Linked DNA regions of Saccharomyces cerevisiae S288C. The gene in region 4 interacts genetically with the main gene of each other region. Each region holds a gene or a part of one and is shown on either strand. Other genes may lie near its edges.

The links.
Region 1: mutations in BRR2 (region 4) and SKY1 impair growth when combined (synthetic growth defect), as found in Saccharomyces cerevisiae (2 studies listed by BioGRID, with this or other methods).
Region 2: mutations in BRR2 (region 4) and JJJ3 impair growth when combined (synthetic growth defect), as found in Saccharomyces cerevisiae (2 studies listed by BioGRID, with this or other methods).
Region 3: mutations in BRR2 (region 4) and HUB1 impair growth when combined (synthetic growth defect), as found in Saccharomyces cerevisiae (2 studies listed by BioGRID).

What each region holds. Positions count from the first base shown.
Region 1 is NC_001145.3:697,537-703,496, reverse strand, and holds SKY1 (serine/threonine protein kinase SKY1), read left to right. Parts: upstream 1-2,457; coding exon 2,458-4,686; downstream 4,687-5,960. Other genes in the region: GUA1 (GMP synthase (glutamine-hydrolyzing)), read right to left, coding at 130-1,707; GAS3 (putative 1,3-beta-glucanosyltransferase), read right to left, coding at 5,127-5,960. UniProt on the Saccharomyces cerevisiae protein: Constitutively active kinase, specifically and sequentially phosphorylates serine/arginine (SR)-type shuttling mRNA binding proteins in their RS dipeptide repeats.
Region 2 is NC_001142.9:609,880-614,547, forward strand, and holds JJJ3 (Jjj3p), read left to right. Parts: upstream 1-2,533; coding exon 2,534-3,052; downstream 3,053-4,668. Other genes in the region: SFC1 (Sfc1p), read left to right, coding at 1-862; YJR096W (aldo-keto reductase superfamily protein), read left to right, coding at 1,316-2,164; YJR098C (uncharacterized protein), read right to left, coding at 3,307-4,668.
Region 3 is NC_001146.8:686,743-690,919, forward strand, and holds HUB1 (ubiquitin-like protein HUB1), read right to left. Parts: upstream 723-4,177; coding exon 501-722; downstream 1-500. Other genes in the region: putative serine/threonine-protein kinase PPG1, read left to right, coding at 1-374; ABZ1 (4-amino-4-deoxychorismate synthase), read left to right, coding at 893-3,256; SOL1 (Sol1p), read left to right, coding at 3,579-4,177. UniProt on the Saccharomyces cerevisiae protein: Forms conjugate with SPH1 and HBT1. Involved in morphogenesis.
Region 4 is NC_001137.3:529,489-538,844, reverse strand, and holds BRR2 (ATP-dependent RNA helicase BRR2), read left to right. Parts: upstream 1-2,823; coding exon 2,824-9,315; downstream 9,316-9,356. Other genes in the region: monothiol glutaredoxin GRX4, read left to right, coding at 1-411; RAD24 (Rad24p), read right to left, coding at 566-2,545.

The DNA.
Region 1 (5,960 bases), on a different chromosome or scaffold from region 4:
ATCCTACTTACATTTCTCCTGCTGTTATTGTGCAAAAAGTATGCTTTAAAAATATTTGAACGTTGATGAATTATATTTGTACTAGGCTTATATATATATATATATAGAAAATGTTAAAATAGAAATGAATCATTCCCATTCAACAGTTGCAGGAGGTTTGGAAGTTATATCGTAAGTGACCCTAGCAACCCCATCGACTTCATTGACAATTCTTGAGGCGACTTTCTTCAAGAAACTGTGTTCGAATGGGAACCAGTCAGCAGTCATGAAATCAGTAGTTTCAATGGCCCTCAAAGCAATAACTTGATCATAGGTTCTTTGGTCACCCATAACACCAACGGATTTAACGGGCAACAAACAGGCAAAGGCTTGGGAAATTTGGTTGTATAAGCCGGCCTTCTTGATTTCTTCAATGTAAATGTTGTCAGCTTTTCTTGCTATTTCGACTTGTTCCTTAGTAACTTCACCTAGAACACGAATAGCAATACCTGGACCAGGGAAAGGGTGTCTCCAGACTAGATCATGAGGGATTCCTAATAATTCACCTAGATGCCTGACTTCGTCTTTGAACAGTTCTCTCAATGGTTCAATTAGCTTTAATTTCATGTTCTCTAGTAAACCACCGACGTTGTGATGAGTTTTAATGGTTTGAGAAGGACCTTTGAAAGAAATGGATTCGATGACATCTGGATAAAGAGTACCTTGTAACAGGAATTGAATCTCCTTACCATCTTTTGGCTTAATTTTTTCAGCTTCTCTTTCAAAGACGTGGATAAATGTGTTACCAATAATCTTTCTCTTCTTTTCTGGGTCAGTGACACCCTTCAATTTACTTAAAAATTCTTCGGAAGCATCGACAACCATCAAGTTGATACCTAAACCTTCGACAAGGGTCTTTTTAACGTTAGCAGCTTCATTTAATCTCAAAACACCGTTATCGACCAAGATGGCATGGAATCTATCACCGATGGCTTCTGTCATCAATTTGGATGCAACAGTAGAATCAACACCACCGGAAACAGCACCAATGACTTCAGCAGTTGGACCGACCAGTTTTCTGATTCTGTTTATTTCAGTGTCGATAAAGTTTTCCATAGTCCAGTTTTGCTTAGCGTGACACAAATCAACGGCGAAGTTTTTCAAAAGAGTCTTACCTTGGGTAGAATGTGTAACTTCTGGGTGGAATTGAATACCATAGATTGGCTTAGTTTCGTGGACAATACCACAGTATGGGGAGTTATCGGAGGTGGCAATGGTCTTGTAACCAGTTGGCAAGCCGTGCAATTTATCACCGTGAGACATCCAGACAGTAGAGTCGTTCATACCTTTGAATAGAGAGTTGGAATCGTCAATCACCTTCAAAGTGGCAGGACCGTACTCTCTCTTGTCACCACGACCAACTTGTTTACCATTAATCCAAGCCAATTCTTGCATACCGTAACAGATACCCAGGATTGGAACGTTCAAATCAAAGATAGCATGGTCTACGTGTGGAGCGTCTTCAGCGTATACGGAATATGGACCACCAGAAAGAATGACACCCTTTGGAGTCCAGCCCAACTCAGAGATCTTCTGAGTGCATGGCAACATCTCAGCATAGATGTTAAACTCTCTTAATCTTCTGGTAATCAAATGAGAGTATTGAGAACCAAAGTCTAACACTAAGATAGTGTCAAACATGTTAGAAACTTGTTCACCGGCAGCCATTGTGAATATTGATGTCGTTAGTTTATTTTAGAATATAGATATTACCTACCAAATGACCCAGGGAAGTTAAACTACAACGAACGCAAGCTAATTAGAGACTACCGTGACCGAAACTATAACTCAACTAATGTTTTATAACTGTGAAATGAAAATGAAACTGAAAAAATGATAAAAAAAAGAAATATTTTTTCTCGATGCTCATCGCCAAAGAAAAAAAAAATTTTCATTTCCTGCAAGCAAGAAAAAGAAATGACGGCATGAAAAGAGTCAAAATGTCGGGAACCGAAGCCATTGTAGGGGAGCGAGAGGATGAAAGCATATTCCTGTCACCAACGTCACGAAGAAATGAGTCGGCTACTTGACAACCTTGTTTTTTCGCTGTTAAACATAATTAAAGGTTCTATTTGGCAACACCTCATAATTATATCACTATCCACGTGATATTAAATCGTTACGGACGAGCCTATATTATTTCCGGATTTTTTTCTAATTTCTTTTTCTATTTTTCTAAATCTTATCGTCGTTATTTATTTGAAAGAGAATAAACAATGAGTGTGGGCTATGAAAGAGCTATAGAGAAGTCACAGGATATAGAGGGATCTATTTGTAGCTGGCAAGTTAATAGAGATTGGAAAACTGATTCAAAATTGTTAGATCACCTGGCGCTGAGAAATAATTGTGTTTTTTGGTATAAATAGACACCCCCTTTTGAGGTTGAAGAGATAGAGTAAAGAAGAAGTGTAGACATTAATGGGTTCATCAATTAACTATCCTGGGTTTGTGACTAAAAGCGCTCATTTGGCTGACACTAGTACGGATGCGAGCATTTCATGTGAGGAAGCAACAAGCTCGCAGGAAGCGAAGAAGAATTTCTTTCAAAGGGATTATAACATGATGAAGAAGGCGCCTGCTCCAACGAAGTCTAAACTGTCTTTGGCCTTGCAGACTTCCAAGTCATCCTCTAGTGCCAACGGTACTGTACAAGAGGATACTTCCTCGAAGACAGAAGATTTTTCTACAAAGAGCATTAAGAAAAAACCAGATAGCGGCGTTGAATCGCATGTGTCCATCCAATCGGATTCGGGGCCACAATCAGACTCAGATTTGGATTCAGATTCCTCTATCTCATCATGTGACGAAAGGAACGAAGAGTCTTTGAAAGATTACAGGCCGGGTGGGTACCACCCTGCCTTTAAGGGCGAGCCCTATAAGGATGCACGCTACATTTTAGTAAGAAAGCTGGGATGGGGCCACTTCTCCACCGTTTGGTTGGCAAAGGATATGGTAAACAACACTCACGTTGCTATGAAGATTGTTCGGGGCGACAAAGTTTACACAGAAGCTGCTGAAGACGAAATTAAGCTTTTGCAAAGAGTGAATGACGCCGATAATACAAAGGAGGATTCCATGGGGGCTAATCATATTTTGAAATTGCTAGATCATTTCAACCATAAGGGCCCCAATGGCGTCCATGTGGTTATGGTATTTGAAGTCCTCGGCGAGAACTTACTGGCTTTGATAAAGAAGTATGAACATAGGGGCATTCCATTGATTTATGTCAAGCAAATATCGAAGCAGTTACTGCTTGGTCTTGATTACATGCATAGGCGGTGTGGTATTATACACACAGATATTAAACCAGAAAACGTGTTGATGGAGATTGGAGATGTTGAGGGTATCGTTCAAATGGTCGAGGCACTGGATAAACAGAAGAGAGAGGCAAAAAGGTTGCAGAGGCACGTTTCGCGGTCTTCTGATATTACCGCGAACGATAGCAGTGATGAGAAATGGGCAGAATGCCAAACAAGTATGCCCTGCGGCTCAAGCTCAAATTCCAAATCTCGTTCTATAGAGAAGGACTTGTCAAAAAGATGCTTTAGAAGACCTAGACGTCATACAATTATCACAGGGTCGCAACCATTACCTTCCCCAATTAGTTCATCAAATTTCTTTGAAATGAGGGCGCACTTTTGTGGTAGTAGTCACAATAGCTTTTCCTCCGTATCTGGGAATAGGAACATTCCATCTTCCATCAATAATAACAGTATTAATAATGGCATAGGCATTAAGAATAGCAACAATAGTTTCTTAAATTCAGTACCACATTCTGTGACCAGGATGTTCATAAATGAAGACAGTAATGATAACAACAATAATGATAATAGTAAAAATAAAAATAACAACAATAACAACAGTAACAACAATAATAACGAGGACATAATGAACACACCTTTGCATGAAGAGCAGCTGGCAGACTCTTTATCTACATTTGATATTTCCAATATATCACAAAGCTCCGATACAAATGGTCCATATATTTCTAATACTATGGATTCAAATTCAAACGTCAGTACCGATATCAACTCCCCAGAAAATTTGATTCAGATCAAGATTGCTGATTTAGGTAATGCTTGTTGGTATGACGAACATTACACGAATTCTATACAGACAAGAGAATACAGATCACCAGAGGTGTTACTAGGCGCCCCTTGGGGTTGTGGTGCAGATATATGGTCTACTGCTTGTCTAATTTTTGAATTGATTACCGGAGATTTTCTTTTCGAACCGGACGAAGGTCATTCCTACACTAAGGATGATGACCATATTGCACAAATCATCGAGTTATTGGGAGAATTACCATCATACCTTTTGAGGAACGGCAAATATACAAGAACTTTCTTCAATTCAAGAGGGCTTTTAAGAAATATCTCGAAATTGAAATTTTGGCCCTTAGAAGATGTTTTAACTGAAAAATATAAGTTTTCTAAGGACGAAGCCAAGGAAATATCTGATTTTTTGTCGCCTATGTTACAGCTAGACCCAAGGAAAAGAGCTGATGCAGGTGGCTTGGTTAACCATCCATGGCTCAAGGATACCTTGGGTATGGAAGAGATTCGGGTACCTGATAGAGAGTTGTACGGGAGTGGTTCCGATATCCCCGGATGGTTTGAAGAAGTCCGCGATCATAAAAGACATTGATTACCTTTATACCTTTATTTTGCCCTTGCCTTTTACTTTTTTTTCTGTTTAACCTCTTTTTTGCATACTTTAGTTCTCTGCTCAGTTGTTTATTTTTCAGTAGTTTTTTTGCAATTTTTTTTTTTTTTTTTACCAAAGTAAATTTGTAACACCTAGTATAATATTCTGAAGTAACAACAAAAGATTATGCTGATTCTCCTTTCTTTTATCTTTAGCGGTTTTTGAATCCATACTCGACATTTTTTGATTTTATTTTTTGCACCCAATGGTTGTCCTGGTGAAGGATGATGGGTGTGATACCTAAGCGTTTTTGATGAAAAGTTTACTATTTAAAAACATATAAATTGTTTTACATATGTTAAGATAAAAGAACACAAAAAAATAAAACGGTTGAAAACGAAAACAAGTCCATGGATGTTTCAAAAAAATACATGAGCAGCTCAGAGTAGAGCAGAAATCAGACCTGCAAATAATGCAAGGTATCCAGACTGACTAAAGGAAACATTAACAATATTTCCGACGCCTTTACTTTTGGAGCTGCTTGAAGCTGAAGATGAACCGGTGCTTGAAGATGAGCCAGTGCTTGAAGATGGACTGGTGCTTGAAGTTAAGGAGCGAGAAGATGATTGTGATGTGGAAGCTGACTTTGCGACCGTTGTGGCTGTGACGTCTAGTTCGTTCAGTGAGTTAGCTTTGTCGTATGAAATAGTAGCTGAAATGGTATCATCTTTATTGTTTTTAATTGTATAGTTAAAAGTAGTTGGAACAGCATAATCAGTCAATATCTTACCGGTGTTGGTGCCATTAACACCGTATTCAATCATATTGGCAATTTCTGCTGGTTGAGAAGGCAAAGTGAAATTGTTCGTTCCAAAGCCAGAATAAATATTGGTGATGGCACTGTTATCGCACTTGTAGATAGAGTCAGAAGATATTTCGCTTTCTTTTGTTGTTGGCAATGAAACGTTCTTCAATTGTGATTCTAAATTAACAAAATCATCCTTATAAGTTAAAGAACCGCTATCATCAAGCTTAACCAAACCGTAATTATTAGCTTCTTCAGTGTATTCGTATACCAACCCACCAGAGAAGACGTTCTTTAAACCACCATACAAACCCTCAGAGACTTCGTCAAAAGTTCTTGGTGTATTTTTGTTGCAACCATACTCAGAAAATATCAACGGAATAACAGCATCTTCGAAAGTTGAGTTTAACTTGTCATAGCCAGAAGATTCCCAACTAGAAGTGCCAGAGCACCATTCATAAGTATTTAG
Region 2 (4,668 bases), on a different chromosome or scaffold from region 4:
GAGAATGCAAATATACAGACGGGTAGCTGGTATTGAACATGTTAAACCCCCAGGATTTATTAAAACTGGGCGTACCATTTATCAAAAAGAAGGTTTCTTGGCTCTGTATAAAGGTCTAGGTGCTGTGGTCATCGGTATTATACCTAAGATGGCAATCCGTTTCTCGTCTTATGAATTCTATAGAACCTTATTGGTTAACAAGGAATCAGGAATTGTGTCTACCGGTAATACTTTTGTTGCTGGTGTTGGGGCTGGTATCACCGAAGCTGTTCTTGTCGTGAACCCGATGGAAGTTGTAAAGATTAGGTTACAAGCTCAGCATTTAACTCCGAGTGAGCCAAATGCTGGTCCTAAATATAACAACGCCATTCATGCAGCCTACACTATTGTCAAAGAAGAAGGTGTTTCTGCCTTATATAGAGGCGTTTCCTTAACTGCGGCAAGGCAAGCAACTAATCAGGGTGCTAACTTCACAGTTTATTCTAAACTGAAGGAGTTTTTGCAGAATTACCATCAGATGGATGTCCTACCTTCATGGGAAACTTCTTGCATAGGTTTGATTTCGGGTGCTATTGGGCCGTTTTCCAACGCTCCATTGGATACTATAAAGACAAGGCTGCAAAAGGATAAGTCCATCTCATTGGAAAAACAGTCCGGTATGAAGAAAATCATAACCATTGGTGCTCAACTACTGAAAGAAGAAGGTTTTAGAGCTTTGTACAAGGGTATTACCCCAAGAGTGATGAGGGTGGCTCCAGGTCAGGCTGTCACCTTTACCGTTTATGAATATGTAAGGGAGCATTTAGAAAATTTGGGTATATTCAAGAAGAATGACACACCAAAGCCAAAGCCATTAAAGTAGATGATGAACAATGGGACTACAAAATGAAATAAAGAAAAAATAGAAATAGGCTAGAAGATCAATTATTAATCGCCCTATTCTTCCTTATTACCTACACAAAATAAAGCAGCAACATAAGAAACAAAAACAAAATGAAAACAAACCAAATAAATCTATGTAAGCATACTCATTTCAATTTGATATTCATTACTTGACTTTTTTGTCCTTATTTGAGGCTCCATAAGCGCGCCATTTTTCCCTACTCCCTTTTTTCGTAAATAGTAATAATGTGCTGAAAAGAACAATGAAGTAGTTATCATACATATTCCGTCGTGTCGATATGAGGGGAGGTGTCTCTTTCTTTCATCCCTTGTCGCAACCTCCAATATATAAGAGCATAAGCAACTGATCTTACTTTAGTAATTAACTTAGCATACCTAGCCCGAAGGAAGAAAAAAAATTCACCTCAACAACATGGTTCCTAAGTTTTACAAACTTTCAAACGGCTTCAAAATCCCAAGCATTGCTTTGGGAACCTACGATATTCCAAGATCGCAAACAGCCGAAATTGTGTATGAAGGTGTCAAGTGCGGCTACCGTCATTTCGATACTGCTGTTCTTTATGGTAATGAGAAGGAAGTTGGCGATGGTATCATTAAATGGTTGAACGAAGATCCAGGGAACCATAAACGTGAGGAAATCTTCTACACTACTAAATTATGGAATTCGCAAAACGGATATAAAAGAGCTAAAGCTGCCATTCGGCAATGTTTGAATGAAGTCTCGGGCTTGCAATACATCGATCTTCTTTTGATTCATTCGCCACTGGAAGGTTCTAAATTAAGGTTGGAAACTTGGCGCGCCATGCAAGAAGCGGTTGATGAAGGATTGGTTAAGTCTATAGGGGTTTCCAACTATGGGAAAAAGCACATTGATGAACTTTTGAACTGGCCAGAACTGAAGCACAAGCCAGTGGTCAACCAAATCGAGATATCACCTTGGATTATGAGACAAGAATTAGCAGATTACTGTAAATCTAAAGGTCTCGTCGTCGAAGCCTTTGCCCCATTGTGTCACGGCTACAAAATGACTAATCCAGATTTATTAAAAGTTTGCAAAGAGGTGGACCGTAATCCAGGTCAAGTTTTGATTCGTTGGTCTTTACAACACGGTTATTTACCACTACCGAAGACTAAAACTGTGAAGAGGTTAGAAGGTAACCTTGCAGCCTACAACTTTGAACTGTCAGACGAACAGATGAAATTTCTTGATCATCCTGATGCTTATGAGCCTACCGATTGGGAATGCACAGACGCGCCATAAAAAGAAAATGCGAACCGTAGAATAACGTATATAGAACATATAATTAGTTTACGTTTCACAAAGTATTAATATTACATGTAGCTTTTTCAGGACTTTCGATCTAAATCAAAGATTAAAGGAGCTGCTAGAGGTAGAAAAGGAAATCATTGACTTTTCTTGAAGATTTATGAGCGGGTAACTGGAGATGGAAATTTTCAGAAAAATTGTAAATGGATGCGATGACTTCGATGTGACGTTACTAGTCTTACCATTGTAAAAACCACTATCGGTGCCAAAAGATAAGCGCAATCAACTAAGAAATTTACCACGCTCTTTGTATTGTATTTATCTCCAATTTAATCTTTCTTTTGGTGTGAAAATTTAGCGAAAATGTCATTGGTGAATTCGTTAACACACTACGAAATTTTAAGAATTCCATCGGATGCAACACAAGATGAAATCAAAAAGGCATATAGGAATCGGTTACTAAATACGCACCCCGATAAACTTTCTAAAAGCATACATGATACGGTTAGCAACGTCACAATCAATAAGATTCAAGATGCTTATAAAATACTATCGAATATAAAAACTCGTCGCGAATATGATAGGTTGATCCTTGAAAACTATAAACGCCAAGGATTTCATAATTGTGGTGATGGGCTGGATGAATTTTCCTTAGACGATTTCTCATTTGATGAAGATAAGCTGGAGTTTATGATGAATTGTCCTCGCTGTCAATTTGTTGGTGGTTTTCATTTTAGTGAGAGTTTGTTAGATGAATGCATTGATAATGTAGACGCTATGGAACGGAGTCATTCTGGTTATCAATTATTAACCCAATGTAGCGCATGCAGCTTATGGCTGAAGGTTAATTTTGACATCGAGGAAGAGCAAGAAGGACAATAATGAAAATGGGAGGGGAAATTGAGCATATCAGATAAATCTGTTTATAGAATTATTATTTTACTTCGTGGGAAATCGAATGGTGTATATAAAAGAGGTTGTAAAATTGACGAAATAAATAGTATTTAGGCAACTAAAGATAAAAAAATATTATTTATTTTTATTCGCGGTGCGTTGCCAGATTTTTTTTGACATGCGGAATTTTGGTAAAAAGAAAAATGCAGATATGAATAGTAAACAAAGGAATAAAAAGCCTTTCATGAAGAAGTTCGTGTTCGAGATCTTCTTCCTTCTTTTTCGCTGTCGACGATAGATATGAATGCTTTTGCCATTGATTTCAAATCCGTCATTAAGCTAACATGACCTGAAGAACTGGCGATTTTACAAACAACTGGAAAGCCTCTCTGTTCAGGCAATAACCATTTATGGTGAACAACACCGTCGCCCGGACCATAGTAAAAATCTTCATAATTCCCATCTTTTATATCTTGTATACCGTTCACTTTAGCACCTCTAACAGTGGGAACCTTGTTACCGTAAACCATGGCCAATGGAGGATATTCTTTGTTCGGGTCGTAATCTAAGCTATCCAAATAATTCTTTGTACGTTTTAAAGTTCTCGCTAAATATTCACAGCTATCTTCATAAGATGTATGGAAGACTTCATCGAAAGGCACATCCCTTGGTACCTGTTTATTATTGCCGGCTACATTCCTAACAACAGGTGCATTTAGGACAAACTTGGTAGTTGCGTTTAGGGTAGCTTTAAGCGAAAGCGCTGATTTCGTTTTCCTTGGTAATAATTTTGATTTTTCGTGAGCTGATTCCTCTCTTTTCTCATTGACGAGAGGTGACAAGCCAAGGGTTTTCCAAACATCTGTATCAAAAAAATCGAAATCATACCTCTCTAAGGTAATTTTGTCAACAAAACATCTACCATCTAACGGTAGAAAATAGAAACTACTTCTCATAAAAAAGTTGGTTTCTTTAGTGAAAATAGTTTTATTCCACATCACATCATCTCCAAACCTAATAGGACCTAAAATATTTGGACATTGGCTTGGGGAACCCACGTAAATAATACCTCTTATCAAATGAGTACAGTCTTGCAACACTTTATGTGCGACCAATCCGCCCATTGAATGGGCAATGATGTATATTCCCTTCTTATTTTTTTGCTTATTGTAAATTTCCTCTAGTTTAGTCGTTAAATGCTTGGCAGATATGTCCAAGGATAATCTCCAATCATAGCCAAACTGCTGAACATTTAAATTAGGATTTGCGTCTAGCCTCTTTATCAACCTCTTAGAGATATCAACAGGCCCTATATGTGTTAGCATTCCATCAGGGACAATCTCCTTCTGAGTTTTAAGTTCATCTTCGTCATTAGGTCCGATCAATAAATCGACTTTCGTCATATTCAAACCTGCCTTTAATGGGATCCAAATTCGCTTATGAGTAGTAGCATCCCTTAGCACACTACCTCGATATCCACCCATTATAACGACATCTCCTTCCAATTCATTCCATATAGATTCTAAACGCGAACGGTAATATCCGTCATGAGTTTTGTCGAATGGGTCTGCTGTTATTTGCTTAATGGAGTTCTTCAAGGCATC
Region 3 (4,177 bases), on a different chromosome or scaffold from region 4:
GAGCCCATCAGTTATGTAACGAAGGTTACCAGATATATTTTGATGGATTGGTTACTACTGTATGGTCGGCGCCAAACTATTGTTATCGGTGCGGCAATAAAGCATCTATTCTGGAGCTGTATAGTAAAGATCAATTCTACTTCAACGTTTTCGAAGAGGCACCTGAAAATAAACTGTTGAAAGAGAACAGTATGAACGACAATGCCTTAGAAGATAGCATATCTAATCCGGTAGCCAACAGGAAATTGATTGCAGATTATTTCGAAGACGACTCTGCCTCCGCAGATGGCTCCACGGACCCTGAAATGTACATATTTTCAGATGTATACCAAGCCAGATCTGCTTCTAACAGACATGTTGATTACTTCTTGTAGCTTACTAAACAATAGAAAAGCATTATAGAGACAACGCCATCTTATTATTTCTACATATTCTATCTCTCTCGGTTGCAAATGTATGTATTGTGTATTTAGATCAAAAAAAAAAAAACAGCGCATTTTCTACAGGTAATACAGCTCCAAATTTGTCTGATCATGTACCTCATAATCTTCCAGAGAGATATGGTCTTTTAAAACACTTCCACCCTTCTGCAACACAATTTTGTTTGGTTGGGTGCCAATTTGCAAGGACAATACTTTTTTGAAATCACCTACACTATCTTCAGCAAGGCACTTCACTCTGACTTTTTTGCCTAATCGGTCATTCACAACTACCTCAATCATTTTCAGAGTATTTATTTGCAATCTAAGCTTTGCCACCGCTCCTCTTTCTCAATCTTTTCCTCTCCCTCCTCATCTCTCTCAGCCAAAACCGCGAATATATAAAAACAAGCAAGTCTCCCGTAGAACTTTTACACGATGACCTTTCGAGATTTCACAAGGGGGATAAAGGAATGCTGTCCGATACAATTGACACAAAGCAACAACAGCAACAGCTTCATGTCCTGTTCATAGACTCTTATGATTCATTCACCTACAATGTAGTGAGACTAATTGAACAACAAACTGATATCTCACCGGGAGTCAACGCCGTGCACGTGACGACGGTACATAGTGATACGTTCCAATCTATGGATCAGCTATTGCCACTTTTGCCGCTTTTTGATGCTATCGTTGTTGGCCCAGGACCTGGGAATCCCAACAATGGTGCACAAGATATGGGTATAATATCTGAGCTTTTCGAGAATGCCAATGGAAAGTTAGATGAAGTTCCAATATTGGGTATATGTCTTGGGTTCCAAGCAATGTGCTTGGCTCAAGGTGCTGATGTCAGTGAGCTAAATACTATCAAGCATGGGCAAGTGTATGAAATGCATTTAAACGATGCAGCCAGAGCTTGTGGCCTTTTTTCTGGTTATCCCGATACGTTCAAATCTACGAGGTACCATTCATTGCATGTCAATGCCGAAGGCATTGACACCCTTTTGCCCTTATGCACAACCGAAGATGAGAACGGTATTCTTTTGATGAGTGCTCAAACGAAAAATAAGCCATGGTTTGGCGTACAGTACCACCCGGAGTCATGTTGTTCAGAATTGGGGGGGCTGTTAGTCAGTAACTTTCTCAAGTTGAGTTTCATAAATAACGTGAAGACAGGAAGGTGGGAAAAGAAGAAACTTAATGGAGAGTTTTCCGATATCCTATCTCGATTGGATAGGACTATTGATAGAGACCCCATATACAAGGTAAAAGAGAAATATCCGAAGGGCGAGGACACAACTTACGTTAAGCAGTTCGAGGTCTCTGAAGACCCGAAATTGACATTTGAAATTTGCAACATCATACGAGAAGAAAAATTTGTCATGTCATCTTCTGTGATTAGTGAAAATACGGGTGAATGGTCTATCATTGCTTTACCAAACTCCGCATCCCAGGTATTCACTCATTATGGAGCTATGAAAAAGACTACAGTTCATTATTGGCAAGATAGTGAAATTAGTTACACCTTGTTGAAAAAGTGTCTAGATGGTCAAGATTCGGATTTGCCTGGCTCCCTTGAGGTAATACATGAAGATAAATCCCAATTTTGGATCACTTTGGGTAAATTTATGGAGAATAAAATAATCGATAACCACAGAGAAATACCTTTTATTGGAGGTCTTGTTGGCATTTTAGGTTATGAAATAGGTCAGTACATTGCATGCGGCCGTTGCAATGATGATGAGAATTCCCTTGTTCCCGACGCCAAACTAGTTTTTATCAACAATAGTATAGTCATTAATCACAAGCAAGGGAAGCTTTATTGTATTTCTCTGGATAATACATTTCCAGTGGCATTAGAACAATCATTAAGGGACAGTTTTGTTAGAAAGAAGAATATTAAGCAATCCCTGTCCTGGCCCAAGTATCTTCCAGAGGAGATAGACTTCATTATAACTATGCCCGATAAACTTGACTACGCTAAGGCGTTTAAGAAATGTCAGGATTATATGCATAAGGGTGATTCTTATGAAATGTGTCTCACAACGCAAACCAAAGTTGTACCATCTGCGGTGATAGAACCCTGGAGGATTTTCCAGACCTTGGTACAAAGAAACCCGGCTCCATTTTCAAGTTTTTTTGAGTTTAAAGACATTATTCCCCGCCAAGATGAAACGCCTCCAGTTTTGTGCTTCTTAAGTACTTCTCCAGAAAGGTTTTTGAAGTGGGATGCAGACACATGCGAGCTACGTCCCATCAAGGGAACTGTGAAAAAAGGACCGCAAATGAACTTGGCAAAAGCCACACGAATCCTGAAGACACCAAAAGAATTTGGTGAGAACTTAATGATTTTGGACTTAATCAGAAATGACCTTTACGAGTTGGTTCCTGACGTTCGGGTGGAGGAGTTCATGTCCGTGCAAGAATATGCCACCGTTTACCAACTCGTTAGCGTCGTAAAGGCACATGGATTGACCTCTGCCAGTAAGAAGACGAGATATTCAGGCATTGATGTCCTTAAACACTCGCTTCCTCCGGGATCTATGACGGGAGCCCCCAAGAAGATTACTGTGCAATTATTGCAGGACAAGATAGAAAGCAAGCTAAACAAACATGTCAATGGTGGAGCACGTGGTGTTTACAGCGGTGTCACGGGATATTGGTCTGTGAATTCCAACGGAGATTGGTCTGTTAACATTAGATGTATGTATTCCTACAACGGCGGAACCAGCTGGCAACTCGGTGCAGGGGGGGCCATAACAGTCTTAAGCACACTAGATGGCGAACTAGAGGAAATGTACAACAAGTTGGAGAGCAACTTACAAATTTTCATGTAGATATTTGTATATTATTAGATATGTATGCAAACATTTTCTTTAGAATAATATACTATTCTTGTACGATGCAGAATTTTTTTTTTTTTTCGCTTTAGGAAAATGACGTTTTGTGCCGTGGAAAACCCTGGAAAAGGATATTGGAAAAAAGTTAAAGCATGGTCATTTAGGGAAGACTTTCCTTCCAATTTACTTATCAATAGGTTATAATGTATGCTTGACGGAGCAGAATTCTTTCAAACCATAAGATAATAGATATTATAACATTTTAGTACATAAAAGAGGCCCGAGAAAATAGATTTTAACTGGAATAATTTTTTGCAAGATGACAACAACCGTACCTAAAGTGTTTGCATTCCATGAATTTGCAGGAGTAGCTGAGGCAGTTGCCGATCATGTTATTCACGCACAAAACTCTGCCCTTAAGAAGGGCAAAGTCTCAAGGTCCACACAGATGTCCGGAACGAGCCTTAACGGAAATGGTAACACAGAATCCAAAACGATGGAGAGAGTAAATTCTGTAAGGAGTAATGCCTCCAGCCGTGGTGGTAGTGAAGACGGCGCCACTAAGAAATTGAAAAAGGAGAAAGAAAGGCGCTTCAAGATTGCGTTGTCCGGTGGTTCGTTAATCCAAGTGTTGCACGAAGGATTGTTGAAAAGAGACGACGTTCAATGGGGTAAATGGGACATTTACTTTGCTGATGAAAGACTAGTGCCCTTTAGCTCCAGTGAAAGCAATTACGGTCTTGCTAAGAGAAAAATATTCGATTTAATAGATACGGAGAAGTACGGAACTCCGAAAATTTATCACATTGATGAGTCATTGATTAACGACCCTCAAGAGTGTGCAGATAACTATGAGAAAATTCTAATTAAAGGATTTGCCGGTAGAGATTCTGTGAAACTACCGATGTTTGATCTGTT
Region 4 (9,356 bases):
TCGAATGCTTCTGCCTCACTAGCGAACAATGCCAAGGGTCCTAAATCTACGTCTGATGAGGAAAGCAGCGGGTCTTCCGATGATGAAGAGGACGAAACTGAAGAAGAAATAAATGCTAGGCTGGTGAAGCTAGTACAAGCTGCACCTGTGATGCTATTCATGAAAGGAAGCCCATCAGAACCTAAATGCGGATTTTCTAGACAGTTAGTTGGTATCCTCAGAGAACACCAAATAAGGTTCGGATTTTTTGATATATTAAGAGACGAAAACGTTAGACAAAGCTTGAAGAAGTTTTCTGATTGGCCTACTTTTCCTCAGTTATATATCAATGGGGAGTTCCAGGGAGGTTTGGATATTATCAAGGAATCTATAGAAGAAGATCCTGAATATTTCCAACATGCTCTACAGTAAGCCTTATTTTGTAATGAAAACTATATTCATACATATATACATATTAATATATATGTATATATTTTTATTTATTAATTTATTCTAGAATGTAATGTGCATAGATTTGTGTGGAATATTTCCTGGGGTTTTCTCGTCAAATTTAAAGAGTAAAAAGTTAGAGTATTTCCAGATCTGAATCTGAAAGGGACTCACTGATAACTGGCGCTTTACGCGGCTGTCTCTGGGACAGAATTTCACATAGAGACTCGTCTTCGTCGCTTCTACCAAATGTTTCATTGCCAATATTATTGCTGTTATCGCTATCGCTATCGACAATAGGGTCATCATTAAAAGAAGTTTCTTCGTCTTCAAGATCGTCGTTAGCCATCATCACATTTCTTTCATATTGGTCAATCAACATGCGAAGCCTTCTGTCCCTTTCCTTTTTTTGATCCTCTAAATGGTCACAATTATTGCTATCATTATCCATCAATGGTGCTAGTCCATCCTCCACAGATAGTGCTTCGATAGGCCCGCCTATCCGATCCACAACGTCGATTCCGTTCTCAACTTTCATTATATCACTAAATTTGTCCATGGTTTGTTTGGGCCCCGAGGAGCCACTCGGAAGATTCTTCAAATAATAGAGAATGTATTTTTTTTTATAACTCTGACACTTTCTAATTAGAGGTGCGTAGTAGCCAAATTCTAGAGTTATATTCCTGAAAGAATGTACCGCGTTGTACTTATAAAGACTAACATTTAACCAATCTTCAGCTTGAACTTTAAATGAATTTTGTAATTTTCTTACTTTCCATTCTCTTGGAAAATAAACCGTTCCATGATTATGGCCTTGTTTACTGATGTTACGAAAGGTTTTGCGCACTTCTCGTAAACCATACTCATTGGATTCTGGTAGACCATTCATATTATCACACTCGCTCAGGCAATCCACAATTGATGATGCATCAGAAATGCTGAATTCGCCTTTATTAAATGTGTTATAGTTCTCTAATATTCCTAATTTGAAATCCTCTTTCGATAACAAATTGTTCGAATTTTCGAAGAGGTTATTAATCATTTCGTTATCGTTATTCGTGCTATGGGAACCATGTATCACCTTCCCAATGGCATGAAAGTATGATATGGTGGATTCTCGGGTTGAAATCGGCAAACTTCCACTTGATGTCGCCCAAAATTGAAGGGTCGTAATGGCCGACCTAATATCACCAGTCTCTTGCGCAATATAATCTATGACTTCCTGTCTTTTATTCCATTTATTTTTCTCCTTCAACATTTTCATATTCTGTACACAAATAAATTTCAAGTGCTTTTTTAATAAAGTGCTGTTAATTGGATTAAACTTAATTCTTTTCAACCTTGGATGCATCAATATTTCTTTGTTCATTATGGTTTCTGCACTAAATGTATAATCAATACCAAATTTGCGATAATTATTATCGTTCTCTGGAATTTCACATTCAGTTATACATATAACAAGGGGAGGTAATAGAGGCTCCGAACTATATAGCCACTGTAATATAAGTTGTTGAAATCGACGTCTGGTATCTATATGGAAGACGTTGGGAAGGTCCTCGATAAGTATTAATGACAGGTTGGACATCACAAGATACCGTGCGCCTTTTAAGAACTCACTAAAGCTTTCCATCTGAGGAAGATCGTTGACTATACAATCACCTCTAAACTCGGTCACTTTATGCTCGTTCGGGGTGCTTCGAAAGGACGTTCCGTTGCTGTTTTGTCTGTATTTAGGAACTAAGATTTTTGAGAGTTCTTTTATGACCGTACTTTTAGAGCATCCACTGGGGCCAGACAGTAGTAGGATCCTATGCTTGGCGTTAGGTAAAAACATGGCATCTAAAGCTTCTTGTACATCTTTAAGTTTTCTTTTATGTATGGCCACTTGCTCCAAACAATTGGGCTTGAACTTTTCGTACCACTGTTCACCGCCGTCGTCGTTGATACTTGGGAGGATACTAGACGTATCTTGCTTGGAAAGAAAGTCATTTTCAGTGCTTCTCGCCTTACGAACTGGCGAAGTCGGTCTAGATGAGCTCCATTTTGTTATTTGCGAGCCCAATGAACTGAGACTATATTGTAATAAGGGCCGTTTGTTCAAATTCGTACTATCCATATCATTCAGACAGGAACAAACTTGATAATTAGTGGTGTTGAATCAAGTACTATTAACGCATTGTGATGATCTCTCAGATATCAATGCGTGTTTGCTTCTTTGACGATCTAATATTGAATATTGTCGCTCTTTACGAGAATATTAAAAATTTATGCTACTAAAGCTATGTCTACTATAAAGGAATAATACACTAATAGAGATAATCTTGAGTAAAATAAGGTGAAGGTAAATATAAGTAATTGCTTTGGAAGATTTACCGTGAGCCTTCGTTATTAAAAATGACTGAGCATGAAACGAAGGATAAGGCCAAAAAAATTAGAGAAATTTATCGTTATGATGAGATGTCCAATAAGGTGTTGAAAGTTGATAAACGCTTTATGAATACCAGCCAAAATCCTCAAAGGGATGCGGAAATATCACAACCAAAATCCATGAGTGGTAGAATTAGTGCTAAGGATATGGGACAGGGCCTGTGCAATAACATTAATAAAGGACTAAAAGAAAATGATGTAGCCGTTGAAAAAACTGGAAAGAGCGCATCATTGAAAAAAATTCAGCAGCATAACACCATTTTGAATTCTTCCTCCGATTTCAGGTTACATTATTATCCAAAGGATCCCTCAAATGTCGAAACTTACGAGCAGATTTTGCAGTGGGTTACAGAAGTTTTAGGCAATGATATACCCCATGATCTTATTATTGGAACTGCTGATATATTCATCAGACAATTGAAAGAAAATGAGGAAAATGAGGATGGTAATATTGAAGAGCGAAAGGAAAAGATCCAGCATGAGCTAGGCATCAATATAGACTCCCTGAAGTTTAACGAATTAGTTAAACTTATGAAAAACATTACCGATTATGAAACACATCCTGACAATAGCAATAAACAAGCAGTAGCAATTCTTGCCGATGATGAAAAATCAGATGAAGAAGAAGTAACAGAAATGTCCAACAATGCTAATGTTCTTGGGGGAGAAATCAATGATAATGAAGATGATGATGAGGAATATGATTACAATGACGTTGAAGTCAATTCTAAAAAAAAAAACAAGAGGGCATTGCCAAACATTGAAAACGATATAATTAAACTCTCCGATAGTAAAACAAGTAATATCGAGAGCGTTCCGATATACTCAATCGATGAATTTTTTTTGCAGAGAAAACTTCGGTCAGAGCTTGGTTACAAGGATACCTCTGTAATACAAGACCTGTCAGAAAAAATTTTGAATGATATTGAAACACTTGAGCATAATCCAGTAGCGTTGGAGCAGAAGTTGGTTGATCTGCTTAAATTCGAGAATATATCACTGGCTGAATTTATTCTCAAGAATAGATCTACAATTTTTTGGGGCATACGACTGGCGAAGAGCACAGAGAATGAAATACCGAACTTAATAGAGAAAATGGTTGCAAAAGGTTTGAATGATCTTGTGGAACAGTATAAATTTAGAGAAACTACACACTCAAAGCGTGAACTCGATTCCGGTGACGACCAGCCACAGTCTTCGGAAGCAAAAAGAACAAAATTCAGTAATCCAGCAATACCGCCCGTCATAGATTTGGAAAAGATTAAATTCGACGAAAGTTCTAAATTAATGACCGTGACAAAAGTATCCCTACCGGAAGGATCATTCAAAAGGGTGAAACCACAATATGACGAAATACATATTCCAGCTCCTAGCAAACCTGTTATTGATTATGAGTTGAAAGAAATTACTTCTCTACCAGATTGGTGTCAGGAGGCGTTTCCTTCATCGGAAACAACGTCCTTAAACCCTATACAATCAAAGGTTTTTCACGCAGCATTTGAAGGTGATTCAAACATGCTAATATGTGCACCCACTGGTTCAGGTAAGACGAATATCGCGTTATTGACGGTATTGAAAGCCTTATCCCATCATTATAACCCGAAAACTAAGAAATTAAACCTTTCTGCATTTAAAATTGTTTATATAGCACCCTTGAAAGCCTTAGTACAGGAACAAGTCCGAGAATTTCAAAGGAGGTTGGCTTTTCTAGGTATAAAAGTCGCTGAATTGACTGGTGATTCTAGGCTTAGTAGAAAGCAAATTGACGAGACGCAGGTTTTGGTGTCTACGCCAGAGAAATGGGACATAACTACTAGAAATTCAAATAATTTGGCCATCGTAGAACTTGTTCGTTTGTTGATTATAGATGAAATACATTTGTTACATGATGACAGGGGACCAGTATTGGAAAGCATCGTGGCTAGGACATTTTGGGCTTCCAAATATGGCCAGGAATACCCCAGAATAATAGGCCTTTCTGCCACCTTACCAAATTATGAGGATGTCGGTAGGTTTTTAAGAGTTCCGAAGGAAGGATTGTTTTATTTTGACTCCTCATTTAGACCGTGTCCTCTATCTCAACAGTTTTGTGGCATTAAGGAACGGAACTCCTTGAAAAAGCTGAAGGCTATGAATGATGCTTGTTATGAAAAGGTATTGGAATCCATCAATGAAGGTAATCAAATAATCGTGTTTGTTCATTCTCGAAAAGAAACATCACGAACAGCAACATGGTTGAAAAATAAATTTGCTGAAGAGAACATTACTCATAAATTAACCAAAAATGATGCAGGATCGAAGCAGATTTTAAAGACAGAAGCAGCCAACGTACTCGATCCAAGTCTACGAAAGTTGATTGAAAGCGGTATAGGGACGCATCACGCAGGGCTGACCAGAAGTGACAGATCCTTATCTGAAGATTTATTTGCAGACGGGTTGTTGCAAGTATTGGTATGCACTGCGACGTTAGCATGGGGTGTTAATCTACCTGCTCATACAGTGATTATAAAAGGAACAGATGTCTATTCACCTGAAAAGGGGTCCTGGGAACAACTTTCTCCACAAGATGTACTTCAAATGTTAGGTAGAGCAGGCAGACCGAGATATGACACATTTGGCGAGGGTATTATAATAACAGACCAATCGAATGTTCAATATTATCTCTCGGTTTTAAATCAACAATTACCAATAGAATCGCAATTTGTTTCAAAATTAGTTGACAACTTAAATGCAGAAGTTGTCGCGGGTAACATTAAGTGCAGGAATGATGCTGTGAATTGGTTGGCGTATACTTACCTATATGTCAGAATGTTAGCTTCCCCTATGCTTTACAAAGTACCTGATATTTCAAGTGATGGGCAATTGAAAAAGTTTAGAGAAAGCTTAGTCCATTCGGCCCTATGCATTTTAAAAGAACAAGAGTTGGTGTTATATGATGCTGAAAATGATGTAATTGAGGCGACCGATCTAGGAAATATAGCGTCGTCATTTTACATAAATCATGCTTCCATGGATGTTTACAATAGAGAGTTAGATGAACATACAACTCAGATTGATCTTTTTAGAATATTCTCAATGTCGGAAGAGTTTAAGTACGTATCGGTGAGATATGAAGAGAAAAGAGAACTAAAACAACTTCTAGAGAAAGCACCCATTCCTATCAGAGAAGATATTGATGATCCTTTAGCAAAAGTGAATGTACTACTGCAGTCTTATTTTTCCCAGCTAAAGTTCGAAGGTTTTGCACTTAATTCTGATATAGTGTTTATTCACCAAAATGCTGGTAGGTTATTGCGTGCTATGTTTGAAATATGCTTGAAGAGAGGATGGGGACATCCCACACGGATGTTGTTAAATCTTTGCAAATCTGCCACAACTAAAATGTGGCCAACAAACTGTCCTTTAAGACAGTTTAAAACATGCCCTGTCGAAGTGATTAAAAGGCTGGAAGCCTCTACAGTACCGTGGGGAGATTATCTACAGCTAGAAACACCTGCCGAAGTTGGTCGTGCAATCAGATCTGAAAAATATGGAAAACAGGTTTACGATTTATTGAAAAGATTTCCCAAAATGTCCGTAACATGCAACGCTCAGCCAATTACCCGTAGCGTTATGAGGTTCAACATTGAAATAATAGCCGACTGGATATGGGATATGAATGTACACGGTTCCCTTGAACCTTTTTTGCTCATGCTAGAAGACACTGATGGTGATTCAATACTTTATTATGACGTACTATTCATCACTCCAGATATAGTTGGTCATGAATTTACCTTATCCTTTACTTATGAGTTAAAGCAGCACAATCAAAATAACTTACCACCTAATTTCTTCCTTACTTTGATATCAGAAAATTGGTGGCACAGTGAATTCGAGATTCCAGTTTCCTTCAATGGATTTAAACTTCCGAAAAAATTTCCTCCTCCTACTCCCCTTCTGGAGAATATTAGTATTTCAACATCAGAGCTTGGCAATGATGATTTTTCCGAAGTATTTGAATTTAAAACTTTCAACAAGATTCAGAGCCAGGTCTTCGAGTCTCTCTACAATTCGAATGACTCGGTCTTTGTAGGTTCAGGAAAGGGCACAGGTAAAACAGCTATGGCTGAATTAGCACTGTTAAATCATTGGAGACAGAATAAAGGAAGAGCGGTTTATATCAATCCGTCTGGGGAAAAAATTGATTTTTTGCTATCTGATTGGAATAAAAGGTTCTCTCATCTTGCTGGTGGTAAGATAATAAATAAGCTAGGAAATGATCCTTCACTAAATTTAAAATTATTAGCAAAAAGCCATGTTCTCTTGGCTACCCCCGTGCAATTTGAGCTTTTGTCACGTCGTTGGAGACAAAGGAAGAACATCCAAAGTTTAGAATTAATGATATATGATGACGCTCATGAGATTAGCCAAGGTGTTTACGGTGCTGTGTATGAAACGCTAATTTCTAGAATGATATTTATAGCAACCCAACTTGAAAAGAAAATTCGATTTGTTTGCCTTTCGAACTGTTTGGCAAATGCTCGTGATTTTGGTGAATGGGCTGGTATGACGAAGTCAAACATCTACAACTTTTCTCCAAGCGAAAGAATTGAGCCTCTTGAAATTAATATTCAGTCATTTAAAGATGTTGAGCACATATCATTCAATTTTTCGATGCTTCAAATGGCATTTGAAGCATCTGCTGCTGCAGCGGGAAATCGTAATTCCAGTTCGGTGTTCTTACCATCTAGAAAGGATTGTATGGAAGTTGCGTCTGCATTTATGAAGTTTTCAAAAGCAATTGAATGGGATATGTTGAACGTTGAAGAAGAGCAAATTGTACCATACATTGAAAAGTTAACAGATGGTCATCTAAGAGCACCTTTAAAACACGGTGTTGGTATTTTGTATAAGGGGATGGCATCAAATGATGAAAGAATTGTGAAAAGGTTATACGAATATGGTGCGGTATCGGTTTTACTCATTTCTAAGGATTGTTCTGCATTCGCTTGTAAAACTGATGAAGTGATTATTTTAGGAACCAACCTTTATGATGGTGCAGAGCATAAATATATGCCATATACCATAAATGAACTTCTAGAAATGGTGGGACTAGCTAGTGGTAACGATTCAATGGCAGGCAAGGTTTTAATTTTGACAAGTCACAACATGAAGGCCTACTACAAAAAATTCTTAATTGAGCCTTTGCCTACTGAGAGTTACCTACAGTATATTATTCATGATACTCTGAACAACGAGATAGCAAATTCTATTATACAAAGCAAACAAGATTGTGTTGACTGGTTTACATATTCGTATTTCTATCGTCGTATCCATGTGAATCCAAGCTATTATGGCGTAAGGGATACGTCTCCACATGGAATTTCAGTTTTTTTGAGTAATTTAGTTGAAACTTGTTTGAATGACTTAGTTGAATCATCCTTCATTGAAATTGACGATACAGAAGCTGAAGTAACCGCAGAAGTTAATGGAGGAGATGATGAAGCAACTGAAATCATTTCTACCTTGAGCAACGGGCTAATTGCTTCTCACTATGGCGTATCATTTTTTACTATTCAGTCATTCGTTTCTTCTTTATCGAATACGTCAACGCTCAAAAACATGCTGTATGTTCTTTCAACAGCAGTAGAATTCGAAAGTGTTCCACTCAGAAAAGGAGACAGAGCATTACTTGTCAAATTAAGTAAAAGACTACCATTGAGATTCCCTGAACACACCTCTTCTGGTTCGGTGAGCTTTAAAGTTTTCTTATTGTTACAAGCATATTTTTCACGTCTTGAATTACCTGTCGACTTTCAAAATGATTTAAAAGACATTCTAGAAAAGGTTGTTCCACTAATTAACGTAGTGGTTGATATCCTTTCAGCAAACGGGTATTTGAATGCTACTACCGCCATGGATTTGGCGCAGATGTTGATTCAGGGTGTATGGGACGTTGATAATCCGTTGAGACAGATTCCACACTTCAACAACAAAATTTTGGAAAAATGTAAAGAAATTAACGTCGAGACGGTCTATGATATAATGGCCCTTGAGGATGAAGAGAGGGATGAAATTTTAACGCTTACTGATTCACAGCTTGCGCAGGTCGCCGCGTTTGTTAACAATTACCCCAACGTTGAACTTACTTATTCGTTGAATAATTCTGATTCGTTAATTTCAGGTGTAAAACAGAAAATTACCATTCAATTGACAAGAGATGTTGAACCTGAGAACTTACAAGTAACATCTGAAAAGTATCCGTTTGATAAGCTAGAAAGTTGGTGGTTGGTTTTAGGTGAAGTATCTAAAAAAGAGCTTTATGCGATCAAGAAAGTTACTTTAAATAAAGAGACTCAGCAATATGAATTGGAATTTGACACTCCGACATCTGGTAAACATAACTTAACAATTTGGTGTGTCTGTGATTCATATCTTGACGCAGATAAAGAGTTGTCCTTTGAAATAAATGTGAAATAAAATCATTGTTTAGTCCTGGATAATCGAATGGATTTCAATAT